Drosophila melanogaster: one gene and its partners. The protein of the gene in region 4 interacts with the protein of the main gene of each other region in a pairwise test. Each region holds a gene or a part of one and is shown on either strand. Other genes may lie near its edges. The genes, in order: CheB42b, Obp18a, CG11357 and CG7272.

The links.
Region 1: the proteins of CG7272 (region 4) and CheB42b interact in a two-hybrid assay, tested with the Drosophila melanogaster proteins (one large-scale study listed by BioGRID).
Region 2: the proteins of CG7272 (region 4) and Obp18a interact in a two-hybrid assay, tested with the Drosophila melanogaster proteins (one large-scale study listed by BioGRID).
Region 3: the proteins of CG7272 (region 4) and CG11357 interact in a two-hybrid assay, tested with the Drosophila melanogaster proteins (one large-scale study listed by BioGRID).

Annotation. Positions count from the first base shown.
Region 1 is NT_033778.4:6,942,561-6,945,827, reverse strand, and holds CheB42b (chemosensory protein B 42b), read left to right. Parts: upstream 1-1,832; 5' UTR 1,833-1,841; coding exon 1,842-2,078; intron 2,079-2,144; coding exon 2,145-2,321; intron 2,322-2,481; coding exon 2,482-2,658; 3' UTR 2,659-2,732; downstream 2,733-3,267. Other genes in the region: CheB42c (chemosensory protein B 42c), read left to right, coding at 418-654, 711-887, 958-1,134.
Region 2 is NC_004354.4:19,134,554-19,137,750, forward strand, and holds Obp18a (Odorant-binding protein 18a), read right to left. Parts: upstream 1,316-3,197; 5' UTR 1,291-1,315; coding exon 1,240-1,290; intron 1,186-1,239; coding exon 850-1,185; 3' UTR 528-849; downstream 1-527.
Region 3 is NT_037436.4:4,540,109-4,545,100, reverse strand, and holds the start of CG11357 (uncharacterized protein), read right to left. Parts: upstream 3,051-4,992; 5' UTR 2,997-3,050; intron 2,982-2,996; exon of another isoform or gene 2,459-2,981; 5' UTR 2,194-2,458; intron 1-2,193. Other genes in the region: CG32243 (uncharacterized protein), read left to right, coding at 3,933-4,036, 4,090-4,178, 4,254-4,388, 4,448-4,806, 4,871-4,992.
Region 4 is NT_037436.4:15,499,327-15,504,303, forward strand, and holds CG7272 (uncharacterized protein), read left to right. Parts: upstream 1-1,611; 5' UTR 1,612-1,764; coding exon 1,765-1,934; intron 1,935-3,510; coding exon 3,511-3,916; intron 3,917-3,981; coding exon 3,982-4,092; 3' UTR 4,093-4,443; downstream 4,444-4,977. Other genes in the region: CG7275 (uncharacterized protein), read left to right, coding at 1-570, 627-1,182; CG7857 (uncharacterized protein), read right to left, coding at 4,488-4,831, 4,893-4,977.

The DNA of each region.
Region 1 (3,267 bases), on a different chromosome or scaffold from region 4:
TAATTTAATCAAGGAGCCTACAAAGATTTTAGCATTGAATTCAAGAAGAACAAAAGGTTATACTTTTACAAGTATAACAATCTAAATGCCTATTTGGCATACAAGTTGTTATGCTAATGGCTAAAACCTTTAGTATTTAGCTTATATATCTTAATAAATATAAGATTAACAGGAATGATTGTTTTGATCGTTTAATAAGGACTATTTTCATTGGCACTGATTTCCTCGAAACTTGTTATGGTTGAAGTGAGCTTCTTGCTTTAAATGTCGATTTAAAATAATGTCTGGCAAACAAAATGGTTGTAACTTTGTTGCATGTCGAGTGGATACATGATGACATGATAGCAATGATAGAAGAGATCATGATGGCAAGTACTATAAAAGGGTCTCATCCCACCAGGTGATACTATTGTCATCATGAGAACTCTCATGCTGTTCGTATTTGGCTTTGCTAGTTCCTGGGCCGCAGACTACGAGCTGTTGCTGGAGGACCCTGATATCTTTTCACCCTGCACTGAACCGCCGCCGGGATCGATTGGATTCCACGATGCCTTCGATATTGGCGATCTGGTAGTCGACCAGGACATGGACATCATTCACCTGTCCGAGAGTGTCACCTCAATCTGGGATGTGGAGCCCACAGATCGCATATCCGTAATGCCCGCATTCCTTATACGAAATAAGATTATTAATAAACAATTGCTTTTAAGGCCAGGTTTGCAATAATGCATTACAACCGCGGCAGCTGGGAACCGACTGTATTTAGCATGGCCACGCCGGACTTCTGCGCCTCAATGTTTGATGAGAATCAGTCGTGGTTTAAGTACTGGACCAAACACATTTCGAACCGCGATGAGGTGATGGAGAAGTGTTTTAAAACGCGTGGTGTGAGTTTTCCCTGCAAACAAAACAGTCCATCTCTGGCGCGGTGACTTTAACCTTGGGATTCCATTACAGACCGTTATAATGCACAATCCATTCGATCTGCAGCTGCGTCTAACGGACATTCGTGGTGCAACTCTCAGGGGTCGTTACAAAGCTGTGGTCACCTTTGAGGCGGTCGATGAGAAGGATGTGCCACGCCGTAATTCCATTTGCTTCGAAATCAGGGGAGAGGCCGAGAAGATAAATTAATTAAGGGCTTAATCTGTTCAAGGCGCGATATCAGTAACCTAAAAAACAATATAAACCCAATATCTACATATTTTGAAAATAAAAAGCAATCTTAAAAATATAAATATAAATAAAATATATCAACTATTCTGAACTTGATATATGTACTTGATTTGGTACAAAGTGTGTAACAGGTGACGCGAACCTTTTTTTTCGTTTGATCAACCTTATGCCCGTATGTGATCTCGGGAGCTATAAAAGCTATATTGATAAGATAAGGGATGCAGATTATAGAGAAGTACTTTCAGAAGATTGCCACGCCTACTCTACCACACCCTCTAACGACCAAAAACCGCCCAAAACTGTCACGCCCACACGGATATGTGATCGCCAAGAAAATCTTTGGGGAATTTGTTTTTTGTTTCAAACTTGTTTTTTTTTCTAGCCCAAAAGTTATTATTATTAAAACATCTTGTTTTACAATGTTTAAGCACGAATATTTTCAAGGGTCACATAACGTGATTTGCCAATTATATTGTTAGAGTTTGACAACGTCTGATTAACAGGAGATGGTTGTTACATTGTTGCGTGTTGAATCAATGTACGATGGCATACCATGATTAGATGTCATCATTTTAAAAGGTGTATAAATAAAACATATCAAAAACTCTATTGTGGCAGTGGCTATAAAGGGGTCGGATCTCACAGTTTTCGGTTCTATGGTCATCATGATATTTGTGCTGCTACTCTTATTAGGAGTGACCAGTTCCTGGGCCACAGACTATGAATTATTGCTCGAGGATCCGGACATATTTTCGACGTGCACTGATGGTCCTCCCGGATCCATCAACATCCGCCAGGCACTCAACTTAGACGACATTGTAATCGACCAGAAAGGGGATATACTTCATGTATCCGGGAACGCCACCGTCGTGTGGGATGTGCAGCCCACCGATCGGATTACTGTAACACAAACTGCAAGCTTCGGAATAATCATCGATTCTAATATCAAAACTCTTGCATCCGTGTAGGCGAGACTTGATGTTTTTCACTTCAACCGCGGCACTTGGGAGCCCACTGTCTTTAGCATGGCCACCCAGAACTTTTGCTCCATCATGTACGACAAGAACCAGTATTGGTATAAGTATTGGACAAGGTTTATAACCAATCGCCATGAGGTGGAAAAGAAGTGCTTCAGAGGGCCTGATGTAAGTGGAGTTCAAGCAATTTGACAACCAAATACGGTGGAATATAATAGCATATGGGAATAGTTCTCATATGGGATGCAGATTATTCATATGGTTGTGTGCAAAGGACACTACCATTTTTTATTGCACAATATTTTGAAAATATTCTGATTTCTTACAGACCGTTCTGGTACACGAGCCCTTCGATCTCATACTAAAATTTGAGAATTTTCGTGGACCTCTTCTTAGAGGACGTCATAAACTTGTCATATTGTTTAACGCACTAGATGAGAGGAATATACCGCGCCCAAACCCAATTTGTTTGGAGATCATAGGAGAACCACTAAAGTTGCAGTAGTTGGAACAATAGACTATTTTGTTGAATGTGTATTTTTTTTTTCAATATTGTATAATATTAAACATAGTGTTCTTAATTCCTACATTCAATAACAATTTAAACATTGCATCGTGTTTTAACAGATCTCATAACTTTAGGGGCTTGTTTTACCTTCCATATCCCCAATCAGTTAACTTCTTGATTCGTTTTGTTTTGTGGTTGGTGGCACGCGTTGACGGCAACTTGAGTTCAAGTTGCGGTTTCCATATCGGCTAGCTGCGTGTGGCAAGTACCTTCTCGGGTAACGACGTGCAGACAAAGGAGAACCGTATACTGACTGCATTTTTTTGGGGTCATGACTGCCGTTGCTGGATGGGGAATATGCAAATACAATTGTCGGTTATTGGATTACCCGATGATGATTGGCATAAGTTCCGATCGATTCAAATCGCAGCAATCGATTTGTCAATTTGCAAAGCTCTTGCCAATTCACGGAAAATGTTTCTTACAGATTTGCGAAAACTTTTAAACGGCAGGGAGGTAAGCCTCGGAACACTTTCATTTCATATTCCCGGCGAATAATTTTCTACTTTCTAAACCGAAGAGCCAGAAACAAAGACCGTCTTTAGG
Region 2 (3,197 bases), on a different chromosome or scaffold from region 4:
GCCCAAGGAGTTCGTGTGCCATGTCCTGCGTCCTGCGTCCTGCGTCTTTCGTCCTGTGTACTATGTACTGTGTCCTTTGCACTCGACTGCGCTGAGTCGAGTTAATGAAAGGCCAAGTCAAATGCCTCACTGATTGCATTGACATCCTTCTGGCCCTTTTTGGCCCTCTTGGCCCAAAATGTATTTGGCCAAACTTTACGTATGATTTGCTGGGAAAATTGAAATTTGCCCTGCATCCTGTGGGGTCGACTGGGATTCATTATTACGTCCACACATCCGCCCCATCAAGTCGGTTCTGCAGTTCACAGTCTGCGATTTGCATTTCAATTATGTTCAAATTGCATCTTCCATATCTGCCATTTCAAATATTATTCAAGCAGGGGGAAAATTTTGTGTTTGGCTTCCCAGTCCACCCATATATGTACATATGTACATGCATACATACATATTTGGTCAGCAAACTGAAATTTTCTGTTATTTATTTGGCCATGTTTCTTGCGAATTTTCGGAAAATAAAGACTCTGATTGACTTATTATTGCATTATGTATTTCCACCAGTTCTACGTTACTTTGCATAAAACAAATCAATAAAAAGCAGACGAGTTTAAAACAATGCATGTCTACTATTTTGCTCTAATACAATTATTAATCACTGTATACAAATAATAATAATGAAAATCACACTTATACTAAGCACAATCGTGTGTAATTTCCATTAGAGGGCGTTTGATCTGATTAGAAGACTCAACAATGAACTGTGATGAAGCCCATTGTGTCTGTCATGTGTGTGTACATATATGTATGTAGTAATGTATATATGTATACTTTATTTTTTGTTTATTTGGTAAATTACGAGGCGATAGTTCCACTCTGCTTGCCCTTAAAATAACACTGGAGAATCAGGTATGGATAGTCGCACGTGTCCAGATTGGTGACGCCATCGAACTGCTGCTTACACTGGGACAAAATCACGTGGTCCTCTTGAGATCCTCGCTTTCCCACCTTCTGCAGATCGATTTTCCCATCATCACCGAAATAATCCTGGATCAGACACCGGCTATAGCACTTAACGGCCACTGGAACATCCGCAACGGGAGTGGATGGAGCCACTGCCTGCACTTGGGCACTGGTCAGATTGTGGTGCTTTAGGCAACCCTCTGCGTTAACGCGGCCAGCTGATTGCCACTAGAATAGATGGTATTGTTAGATGGACACATAACTATTTCGTTAAGAACTGACCATAGTTATCAAGCAAATCCATAGTACAGCTATGCTGCACACAACCTTCATGGCGAAAATCTGTTTCCCAACTAACAATGAGCGCATCATCACAGCTCTATATATATAACCCATCGATTTGCTAATTCAGCTCAAAAGTAGACAGGAGATTTTAATTAAATAATTGGATGCTACTTTACATTCGCCACACACCAACAAATAAAGTCTATAATTGAAATTTTAAGCGCAGTTCCCGATTATGAGCTACACGTATGTCGTATGCGCAATATCTGCATTACAATTGCCAATAGTAAATTACCAACTTGGTTTTCTTCATATTTATTAAGATAGAAAACATACAATTTTTGGCTTTTACACTCCAAGCATCTCTGAAGTTTAAACAAAAAACATATGTGTAGCCTATCTACTGTATTGGACTTTATTCGTATATTTTATATGGTTCATTAATATAGGTATAAATACAAATTATATTCACGCTTTGCGATTTGCAGCGAATATCACATCTTATACACGATGTAAAAAAAAAAAAAATATTTCGTCATGTTTTTAGGTTGGCCGCAGGCAGTGCTCACTGTACCGCCACAATGTTTATCGTTTTGCATTTTTTTTTTCTTTGTTTTCTTGCGGTTTCCCCTAATTATCTTTAGTATAAACTTAGTCTACTGTCTTTTTTGGTAAGTATTTTCGTGATGGGCTCGTCTATGCGAATTCCCATTTCCAATGAATAAATAAAGTAATTAGAACATTAAAATTAGCAATAAAACACGTACATTTAAAGCTGACAACAAAAAAAAAAAGTATTCTTATGTTAAACTGTAGTATGTGCCTATGCAATATTAAGAACAATTAAATAAAATAGCATATTAACTTATGGCAGCACTTTGTTGCTATGTTTATGTTTATGTTTATGCACGCAGTTAGGCCAGGGCGGATGTAACATGATCACCCACTCGAAGGCAAAAAGTATAAGTGCATGGTCAGCATTCACACGCCGACCAAATACATATTACATACGTACATACATATCTCGCTCTCCCGATAAGCCTAGATATATAAGATATACATAAGAACGCCGCTCCGCTGCTGGCGTACCCGGCAGCGCAGCTACGCGGATTAGCCTAAGTCCAAATATATTAAAAACTGTAAAATCAGAGAGACTCTGTAGACGTTGAGCTGACAGAACCATTTCTGCCTACTCTAAAATCAAAAGAAGAAATTGAATAAATATATGTCAGCCCGACGGCTGCCTTCAACTTAAAACGGACTTGTGTTCTGAATTGGAGTTCATCATTACATGGCGACCGTGACAGTCGTCCAACGCTGGACGAATTGACCAAAGCTGGTGAAAACAAAGGAACAAAGGAACACTGGACTGGAAGAAGACTGGACTAATTAAATGGAACTGCAAAAACCAAGGAAAAATCTGAGTGAGTAGAGTTCTATTGAGTATGGGCAAACACCGTGGCGGTTTGAAAACTAAGCTGAATAAACGTATAGCCCACGTAAGGTGGCTAATATACGGTCAGCAAACGCCACCGGTTTGGTCGAAAGCTCTAAAGCTACATGCAGAGCTAGACCACTTGTTGCAATATCAGCAAGAATTAAAGACCCATAAGCTCGAGAAAACTCACTCAGATAATATTAAAAATATACCCACAATTAATGAAGTTCCAAAATACCAGGCATGTCCAGCACCAGCACCAGCATTAACAAAACCAAAGAAGTCCTGCCCCCCTGGCTGCGAAGGAATCTGGAGTCCCCACTGCCTGGGGACTTGTGAGCGACCATCGACGTCTTCAGCGGCGAAGAAATAGACAGCAGCGAGGGAGTGTCAGCGTGCCACCCCCGGCGACGCCCAGCTGACACCTGATGAGCATCATCAACAGCAGAATATAATAATAAATATATATAAATATAAAGTAAATATAAAATATATATAGATAAGAAAAATTGTAAGA
Region 3 (4,992 bases), about 11 Mb from region 4:
ACATTTCTGGAAACTTGCTCGGTTCGGCTCGCGATTTGCACTCAATTAAATTTTTTGCTGATAAAAATTAAAACGAACTAGACAAACATGATCATGGCCATTTTTTGCTGTTCTTGCAACGCTCGGAATCGCTCGCATGTAAATTAAAGAAATCACACGATGATCCAGTAAGTAAGAAATCCAGTAATAAATTAAAGTTCTCCTGCAGTGCACAAATTTCGTGGATGTCTGGTTTCTATCCATTTACGCGCGCAATCAAGAAATTCCAAATACTTGCAATATTTATAGAATGTATCCACATCAGCAAATGCGTGTGTGAGAAGAGAGGCACGTGTATGTATTTGTTTAAAATAAAAGAACAATTTGCATTATACGAACATAAACTTTTAAAGTATTTTGGTATGCCTTATCTAAACAAATTCACAATGGAAATAAGTGTTATTCTCTCGATGTTCCGCTGGTTTCAAAAAAAAAAAACAATTATCTGATAAACATTATATTTATTTGAAGCATTGAATTTGAAAGTCTCACATGAGGGGATCACATGATGAAACGGAATGAATTATTATGTTCGAGTATTAGAGTATTATATTCTAGCTGATACTAGCACATTGATAAAGACCAAAATACAATTTTCTTAAAATTATTAAGATTGGTGTGCTTATACACAAAATTCTGTGAAACTTGCTACATGCAGATTACTTTTCGCATATCTTAGAAAAGCATGAATAAGTCGAGTGGAGAAACCCAAAAGGAAGTAGAAAACAGTTGAAAGATTAAGTTGTGAGACATAAGGATGTTATTTCATAAACGTACTGTTTAGGATCGCAAATCGCTCGAAATTCGGGTATTAATAATGAATAGCAGTTCGTACGTGTCGAAAATTTCGGCGCGGCAAGGGGGAGTAAAAGAGAAAGCAAAAAGCTGAAAACGTTGACGTGACGTTACGTCGGCGGAGAATCTCGGGGTCACTGTACGGACCAATAAAAGTAACACCGCCGACGTCTAACGCCTCGCACCGCCGGTTATCAGTGGGCCAGAAGGCGCAAACGGGTGAAAAGCGGTGACAGCAGCTGATAGGCAAACAAACAGTCAAGCAAAGCGTATACAACGTTATTTTGCGCCACTGAAAAAAGCGTTAAAGCCCATTCGACAGAGACGGCCGATCGAGGGGAGATGAATGTGGGAAAAAGAGAGAGCGAGAGCTTCTCGCGGAAGCTGGCGCAATTAAAAATCAGAGCTTCGCCAACGAGCATGTGATTGAAAATTTGAAGCGCCAATGCAAACAATGAACTTTAAACTGAACGGAATGATTGTAATTCCTTATAAGCCATAGTGCTCAATAAATTAAACATTAATTTAAAGTACACGTGTTAAATGTCTATTAGCGAAAATCACACAAAAATCGATTTAGATCCAAAATATCGCCCTTAGAGATATGGTGCTATCTTAGTGGGACTCGAACACGGTCTTCTTAGCGACTTCTTCTTCAGATAACAAATCTATTGAATATGTAATAAGTTGAATACATATGACTTGATTGATATCAGGAAAAATTGATATAGAAATGGGTTATTTTTTATTGATAAGCGGTGTATCGGAACTAGTGAGATTTCCACTGTACCTAAGTGATGAGGTAAACACTCTCGCAGTCTTGGGCAAACATTCAGACGGGAGCGAGGCGCACAGAAAGATAGGAAGAGGGAGACGGAGCGAGGCGGCACAGTGGGACAGGCCAAGGACAACGAGTTGAAAAAGGCGAAAAGGAGCAGACGAGCCAAAACGGAGGACAACAAACAGGCATGCGTGCCACTGTGCCTGAACTTGTTCAAGGTCAGTCCTCAGCGACAGCGACGTGCTAACAAAAAGCGAAGAAAATTCATGTTGGAAAAAAGCACAAAAGAAGAGCACACAACAACAACGCCTCTTAAAGGCGAAGAAAAGAGCGAAAGAAGAGATAGATGCGTATATAAAAAACAAAAAAAAAAAACGCTACCCACACATGAAAGAGAGTGAGCGAGAGAGCAAGTGTCCCTCCCCGCAGCAACAATGACAACAATAGGATACTGTTCAATGGATGCTGATAAGCAAAAGTAAAAGACAAAACCCCTCGAAATCTGGAGAGATAGTATCCAAGCACTCGCATAATTAATTTCATACATTTTATGCTTTTTTTTATGTATTAATAGTCACCTGCTGGTTGTTCGCCTGGCTGCTTCCTCATTAGCCAGTCAGTCGAATCCTTGCGGGAGAGCGAGGGAAATGGCAACAAATGTGCGTTTTTAATTAATTTCCATGTGAAGCACTCACGCACACTTACACACACCCATCGCTTTGGGTAACAGTTCAAAAACAGAGTTAGAGCGAAAGAGACACCAATTGGGAGTGCTAATTCAACACACACGCGCACGCAGCACTTAATTTGTATAGATTTTTGGCATCAATTTGTTGTTGGCAGCTGGAATAAATTTACTTAACTTAACACAATTTTCAAGCTTGCACACAACCACACCAACACGAACACCTATACAGACGCGGCGAAAAGAAATGCAAAAGGAGATGAAGAGGAAGAAGAAGAAGCAGGCTGAAGGATGCTGGGCCTGGATTTCTCTTTCCTTTTTTCGCTGCCCAAAAAGGCGTTGACAGCGCTTTTATTCACTTTTAATTCATTTAACGATGGTGTTGTCCGACTTTAATTGTTTATGCGCTTGGGTTTTTTAAGAAAAACTGAATAAAAAACGGAATAACCGCCGTCACTCGTCGAAAAATTCTCGGCGCGGCTATTGTTCACTTATTATCATGTCATATTTTCCAACTGATTTGAAAGACAGTATTTTAGAGAATAAGTATACCGAGCGAGTTATCAGCGACGTGTGCAATTTTTATGCACTTTTTTAATATTTTAAGTGGAAAATAAAACACAGAGCGTTTCAGAGGGCGCTAAATTGTTTTTTGCCCGTTCGGAACTGAGTAACTGAGAAGCGTAGCGTTATTACCAGTCTTTTTCTTCTTTTTTGTTGCTGCCCCGTTCGAATTTCTCTCGCACTGTTAGCCGCTCTCAGTTGCTGTTAAAGCGGCGAAATTCACTGTTATATTTAACAGAGGCGTTGTTGTTAGTTGTAAAGAAGGGCTGTTAAGGGGAGTTGGCTTCATAAAACTTTTTGAATATTCAGAGTTAAAGAAATCTAGTTTTTAACAATATTTGTATCAAAACACATTTAAAAATATTAACATGTTCAGTATTAATATATATTATTTAAGTATAAATTTCAAAAACCCCAGGCATAAGATTTTATATACACCACTGGAATGTTAACTGAAAGCGGGAGATAGGGATGGAACTCAAGCATCGACACGCGTTTAAAATTTGGGGTGACCATTTCTATCGCTTTCTCATCTAGCTTGCCTAGATTTTCAAGATCCATCTGCCAAAATTGCTATCGATTAAAGTGCATCGGCTCAGTCGCCATTCGTAAGTTGTAAATTACGAAGAAACGCAATGATAATTGATTCAACCGATAGGAAACCTATTTTAACTTAACATTAAGATTTTAACTTTTTAAATTGCACTAATATCGTTATCAGCCAACTAAATTTTGTAATTACTTAATTACTTAATAACAAAAATTAGAATAATATTTAATTCGTTGAGTAATAATGCCTTTTATGAAACCTAATTATTTACAAACAGTCGAATGTAAACAATATTGGGGTGATCATAAACATTAAGAGATATACATTTTGATAAGTGTTTTATTTAATGTTTATTTAAATTACAAATATCCCTAATATGACTGGTAAATACATCATATTACTTAGATAGTGACAGTTCGTCAGCACTGACTATCGATAGCCGCCTTTTGTTGCAACTTCCATCTTCTACGTGCAACAGAAGAAGTTCTAGAAATAAGCAGGAATAAAAGTTTGCAAAAATGAGTGCTCCAAAAGGGGACGGAAACTTAGTTCCCACAGTCAGAGAAGTGCAGCAAAAGTTTGCCGACATCCTGGGCCATGGCAACGATATAACCTGGGATCTGTAAGTAGGATTCATCCGAAAAAATTGCAAATTATAAAGCTCAAGGTTTGCAGAATATCGTCGGGTCAAGAAAACATATTGAAGGCAAAGCTGTCTCTGCTGAATTTCGATTCTAACATGTTTCATGCGATCTGGAGTTATAGTGAGTTATAGTTATAGTAAAATTAATAATATATTCCAAATAAGCGTCATTATGTTATCTACTTTCTCATATCAGGAAAATACTCCAAAGGGCAGTCACTCACGTCTTTATTTTTTGTGATGGTTGTCAATAATGTATATGATCCCAAGCTGGCCGAAGAAAGTAGATCCTGGCGCCTGTATCCGGTGTTTCGATGCCGACGATGCGTGGGTAAGCTCGATAGTTATAAGTAAATCGAGAAATGTATTATATTTTTTTATTTGTACAAGATGAAACTGGACATTCCAGCAACATTGACTGTTGCATGTCATATGTGTCACAGTACTCAATGTCTGATTCCTGGAACCGATTTGTGACCCATACGGGGTTTGCCGCAGGTCTAATGGTCACCCCGTATCTTGGAGTTTACAAGCAAACCGATGGTCGCGTTGAGCTAAAAACGTATACTACCACTCAGATATGGCACCCAAATAAGAAAGATATACCAATAACACCCGAATCGTTGAAAAAAGCATCCAGTGTGACTAATAAACTTAGAAAAATCATCATACATTCAGTTCCATTTCTGGTTTATCCTGAAGAGGTTTTCGACTTCTGCGCCAGTGAAAAGATGCTTTCGTCGATTTTGGTATAAACTTCATATTTCATTAACATACATTCGAATTTGTTTAAATTGTTTGTCTTTCATGTAGAATCCTCATAGTTCTACACAATCTGGTGATGTGGCTGGTCTATCCGATTCCTTAGTATTATTTACGAATAATCTGTACAATTCACGCCTTGAATCGCTGATGAATAATAATAATAATGATCC
Region 4 (4,977 bases):
CGGAAAGCATCCCAAGCAACTTTCCACCTTGGCCACCGGCGCCTATGACGGCGAAGTGCGCATTTGGGACTTGGCGAATCGTATCAGCTCTCGGAACTTTGTGGCCCACGACGGTTTCGTTCGCGGCATTGCTTACACCCAGAACGGAGGTCGCATTTTCACCGTGGGAGATGATAAAACCATCAAGGTTTGGAAAGCAGAGGCTCCGGAAGTCGGCGAGGATGAGGTGCCGGTGAACACTATACTGAGTAAATTTGGACTGCACGGCATCTCGCACAATCGCAGGGATAACAAGTTCGCCACCTGTGGCGAGGTATGCGCCATTTGGGACGAAAGGCACAACGATCCTTTGAAGACATTGAAGTGGGGCGTCGATACCCTTCACACCATATCCTATAACCCCGTGGAAACAAGCATCCTGGCGTGCTGTGCCAGCGATCGCAGCATTATCCTGTACGATCAGAGAGAGGCGCAGCCACTAAGGAAGGTCGTCCTAACCATGAAGAGCAACAAGCTCGCGTGGAATCCCATGGAGGCGTTCAACTTCACAGTGGCCAACGAGGATTGCAAGTGAGTAAAACGGCCATACGAAGAGGATGTGTTGCTAAAATCTTTATTTCTTACAGCCTTTATACCTTTGACACTCGCAAGCTGCAAACGCCGCTGAAGGTTCACTTTGACCATGTTTCCGCTGTCACCGATGTTGACTACTCGCCCACTGGCAAGGAATTCGTCTCGGCCAGCTACGACAAGACCATTCGGATCTACAATGCCCACCACAGTCACTCGCGGGATATTTACCACACAAAACGCATGCAGCATGTGGTCTGCGTGGCCTGGTCCCTCGATAATCGATACGTTTTCTCCGGCTCCGACGAAATGAACGTCCGCATGTGGAAGGCGAATGCCTCCGAAAAGCTGGGCGTCATCCGTCCACGTGAGCGCGTCAATTTCAATTACCAGGAGGCGCTGAAGCAAAAGTATGCCGCTCATCCGCAGATCAAGCGCATCGCGCGCCATCGCCAGGTGCCGCGTCACGTGCTCAATGCACAGAAGAAGATGCGCACGGTCAAGGAGAAGGAGCAGGTCAAGGAGGCCAATGTGCGCAAGCACACCAAGAAGAGCAAGAAGGTGCCCTACGTCAGCGAGAAAAAGAAGCATGTGCTGAAGGAGGAGGTGTGAGGATGATTGCTAACGACTGTAGTTGGATAAGTTTGAATAAAATTGATTTTTGTAAGGAGACTATGTATGTATATATTAAGAAGCCTAATCTCAATTGAGTTTCTCACTTTCTATCATTGTTCTCAAGTGACTTTCAGTTTGGTCAAGTCAAACCGAAGTTATCAGTGAATTTGCTTAGTTTAAACTATTGTTTGGCTTTAATTCAGTGATACTAGAAGAAAGAAGATGTTGATAAGTTCTAAGGAATACTCTCCTGTTGCTCTAGAGAGAAAACTCATTTGCTTTGCCATGCAGCAACGTTTCGCGGAAATTTGAAATTCAATTCGTATCCGATAAGCCCTCGCGGGCGATAACGTTTGGGGAAAATCGGAGAGACGCGTCCATTTCTAGGGGATTCTCGATTATAAAAGGTTGCCAGCCCCACCGTTGGTGCTCAGTATTTGTTCGTTTGTTGTTACGGCAGCCGCCAGTCGGTCGTTAGTTTTTGTTTTCGTTCATTTGTTTATACTCGCGCGGCACTCGGCCCCCCTCCCGTTCCCACATAACCCGTTTGAAAGGCATCAACTGAGAGTCATTGAAATCATGGAGGCACTGGGGGATCTCTTGGCGCCACACAGCGAACTAATCGCCAAGGTAGCCGGCACCATAACTACCCTGCAATTTCTGTCCGGAGTGGTTCTGATGAACGACATCCGCAAGAAGGGTAGCAGCGACGTCTACCCGGTGGGCCCATTTCTCTTCGGAGTGGTGCTGTAAGTAACCTAATTGGGATTCCGTGATGCTCCACTGCATGCGACATCGAAAAAAAAACTAGTGGGCAGGGGGCAGGAAAAGCGAGTGAAAAGAACAAAAGCCAACGCATCTGTGTGGGAATTGATTAAATTTTAGAACTGTCGCCATGACAGCACAGAATCGAGTCTCTTCAAGGCCGCCAGTGAATCGGTTTTGCACACAATTCAAGAAGATAACAATGGAATCGATTACATCACTGCGTTGGCCAAATGGGAATTACACTTCGATCATCCGCGACCGTTACATTTCGAAATCGTTAACCTTGTCGAAAATCCGCCAGCAGCACTTTTGCCGCCTTATCGATGCGAGAACCCTCCAAACACGTAGCTCTTATCTAGAGTGTATAATTTTAGAGCTCCTCTATTACGAATGCTGATCCGGTAGAGTCTGTCCAAATCTGGGAGAGCCGCTAATCGTTTATACGACGGGCGAAAGATACGCGACTCGCCCTCTCCACGTGCTCGGCATAAAGCGGGGCTGCCCAGATTCCAAAGGGGGTGGGCCACCCAGTGGTGGTGATGGGAATATCTTGTCATCTATAAATATAATCTTCTCTAATTATAGCCGTAAGGCTTGTCCATTACTGCATATGAATAATAGTGTTTGCTTAGCAAAACATAATATTTTTTTAACTATAGTTTCCGTAATAATACATTTCTTTAAACAATTCCAAATTCCTGCTGGCTAAAGCACTAAATGTAGATGAACTCTCGAGGAATTTACCTTTTTATTTTTAAATCGTAAACTTTCCACTGTTTGTTTTGAACATCTCAAAAGATCATAAAGTGCCATATGGCAGCAAGTGAATGAGTACCATCAAGTGAGTGTGCCATCACTGCGCCGGGGCTTACTTGGGGGTGGTTTTCCGGAAGGTGTTAACTTGGACTGTGTCAAGTGTAAGGACCCGCAGACATGCAAGCGAAGCAACAGTTGTATGCTAAACGAATTCCACTCCACCCAATGGGCGCTCGAGGTCTCGGTCAAGGGCAGGTTCCTCGGCCAGTTTGCATTTCATTTCGCCCAGCCCGGGTGTATTTCACCATTGTTGTGGGTTTGTTTATAGGTTGATCGATGATAATGCTGATTATTTGTTGAGCGTTGAGCTCCTTATCAAATGCTACGTGTACCATGATTTGCACGCCGGCCCTATTATGCTTATTTATCTATCTCCACCTAGTATAGAATCTGATAACGCAATTAATAAGTGTAAACTGGTTTTTTTTTTCAATGAAGTGGTAGACTGGAGCACTTTAAATGAAAACTAGTTCCATTTCTCTTGATTCGAACTTTCTGTAGCGACTTACTGCTGGAAAACTGGTTCGGGCAGGGTCAATTAATTTGAATTAATTATAATATCCTCAGAAAACTATGCTCTTATCTACAAGTTAACTGGAATTTATAAAATTTCCAGCCTTATATTGAAGAATATTTTAAAATGAATATGAATGGTAACAGTATTACATTTTTGTTTAAATATAAAAACCAAATTTTGTCCTAAATTAAAGTAACTAATTAACAAATTGTTGAACTTTCTAGGACCGTTCTCAGCTTGAAGCTGGCCAACATTATGAATGATGCTGCCATGATCAATACGAATTTAATCGGCCTGGTGATAAACTTCGTCTTCCTCTTCGGATTTTACTACTACGCCTCGAGCGCCAGCAGGAGCAAGATCTGGAAGCAGATTGGCTATTCCTCGGTGTTCCTATTGGCCATCACCGCGTATGCCAACTTCGAGGATCCCGCCAAGATTGAGTTCCGCCTGGGAATGCTGATCACCGGCATCCTGGTTTGGATGGTGGGCTCTCCCCTGCTGCATCTGCCGAAAATCATTGAGAAGAAGAGCACCGAGGGAATGCCGTTCCCGATTATCTTTGCCGGTAATCTGGTGGCATTTTCCTGGACGCTGTATGCCATCTCCATCAAGAATACTGTGATGGTGGTAAGTTAGCAATTAATTCTATTAAACGAGAATGTAAATTTGAACCGAAAATTCTTCTATTTCAGCTGCAGAACCTTTTGCTGCTGGTCCTGGGCGGCATTCAGCTCTCCATGTTCGCTATTTATCCCAACAAACCGGCTGCCGAGAAGCCCAAGGACAGCAAGAAGGACAAATAATTGAAATCGAACGCTTTACCTAGAAAAAAGGACAAATAATGGGTTGTTGCAACAACATTACCAAGTAATAAGTAGCTAGGCTTTGAGGAATAATCAAATTATTGCTTGAATTTACACTAAACCGCCACAAGAAAACTAAATTTGAGCTAAACGAATTATTTTTCTATATAGGAAATATTTTCTTAGAACAAATCCAGCTAACTAAGTTGCTAGCTAACCTAGAATTGTTATTATATTGACTATTATTGTATATAACTACTACATACTTGCAATTTTTGACAATAATTCAAATCTTCCAAATGCATACGTATTTATAAAGTCAACATAATATGTAATAAAACAATCTGTTACAAAATCGAGTGAGTTGATGGTAAATGCCATTGGGCATTTCCCGTTTAGGCTGCTGGCACCGTGGAATTGTAGTGGGCACCCAATTGGTATATGTGGCGGTGGTAGCAGATGATCAGCGGTGATCCACCGAATTCCTCTTGCCCCAGGAGCGTCGGTGCTCCTTCCGCTTGGATAACTTCAATGGGCACCCGGAGTAGCGATGAGATGGCCTTCAGTTCTATGTGGCCACCCCAAGCGTGAGTTTTTGCTATGTCGTGGCAGTATTGTTCGAATTGTTGGTCGTTCAGAATGTCTCCTGTTTCCGGGTGGATCATGTATGAGATAAGCGAGTCCTTGTGAGCACGCACATAATTGGCAGTTTCCTCCCGCAACTCCTGAACACTGTGACCTTTGGTGCAATTATTATGGATTAGTTTTGGTGCTGTGTGGACTGAATCGTGAAGCATTACCTGGAAGAGCATTTACGATAAGTTGGTGTCTGATGGACTGATATAAGCAGTCGCCATCGGAGGGTATATTGTGAAGGGATAATTG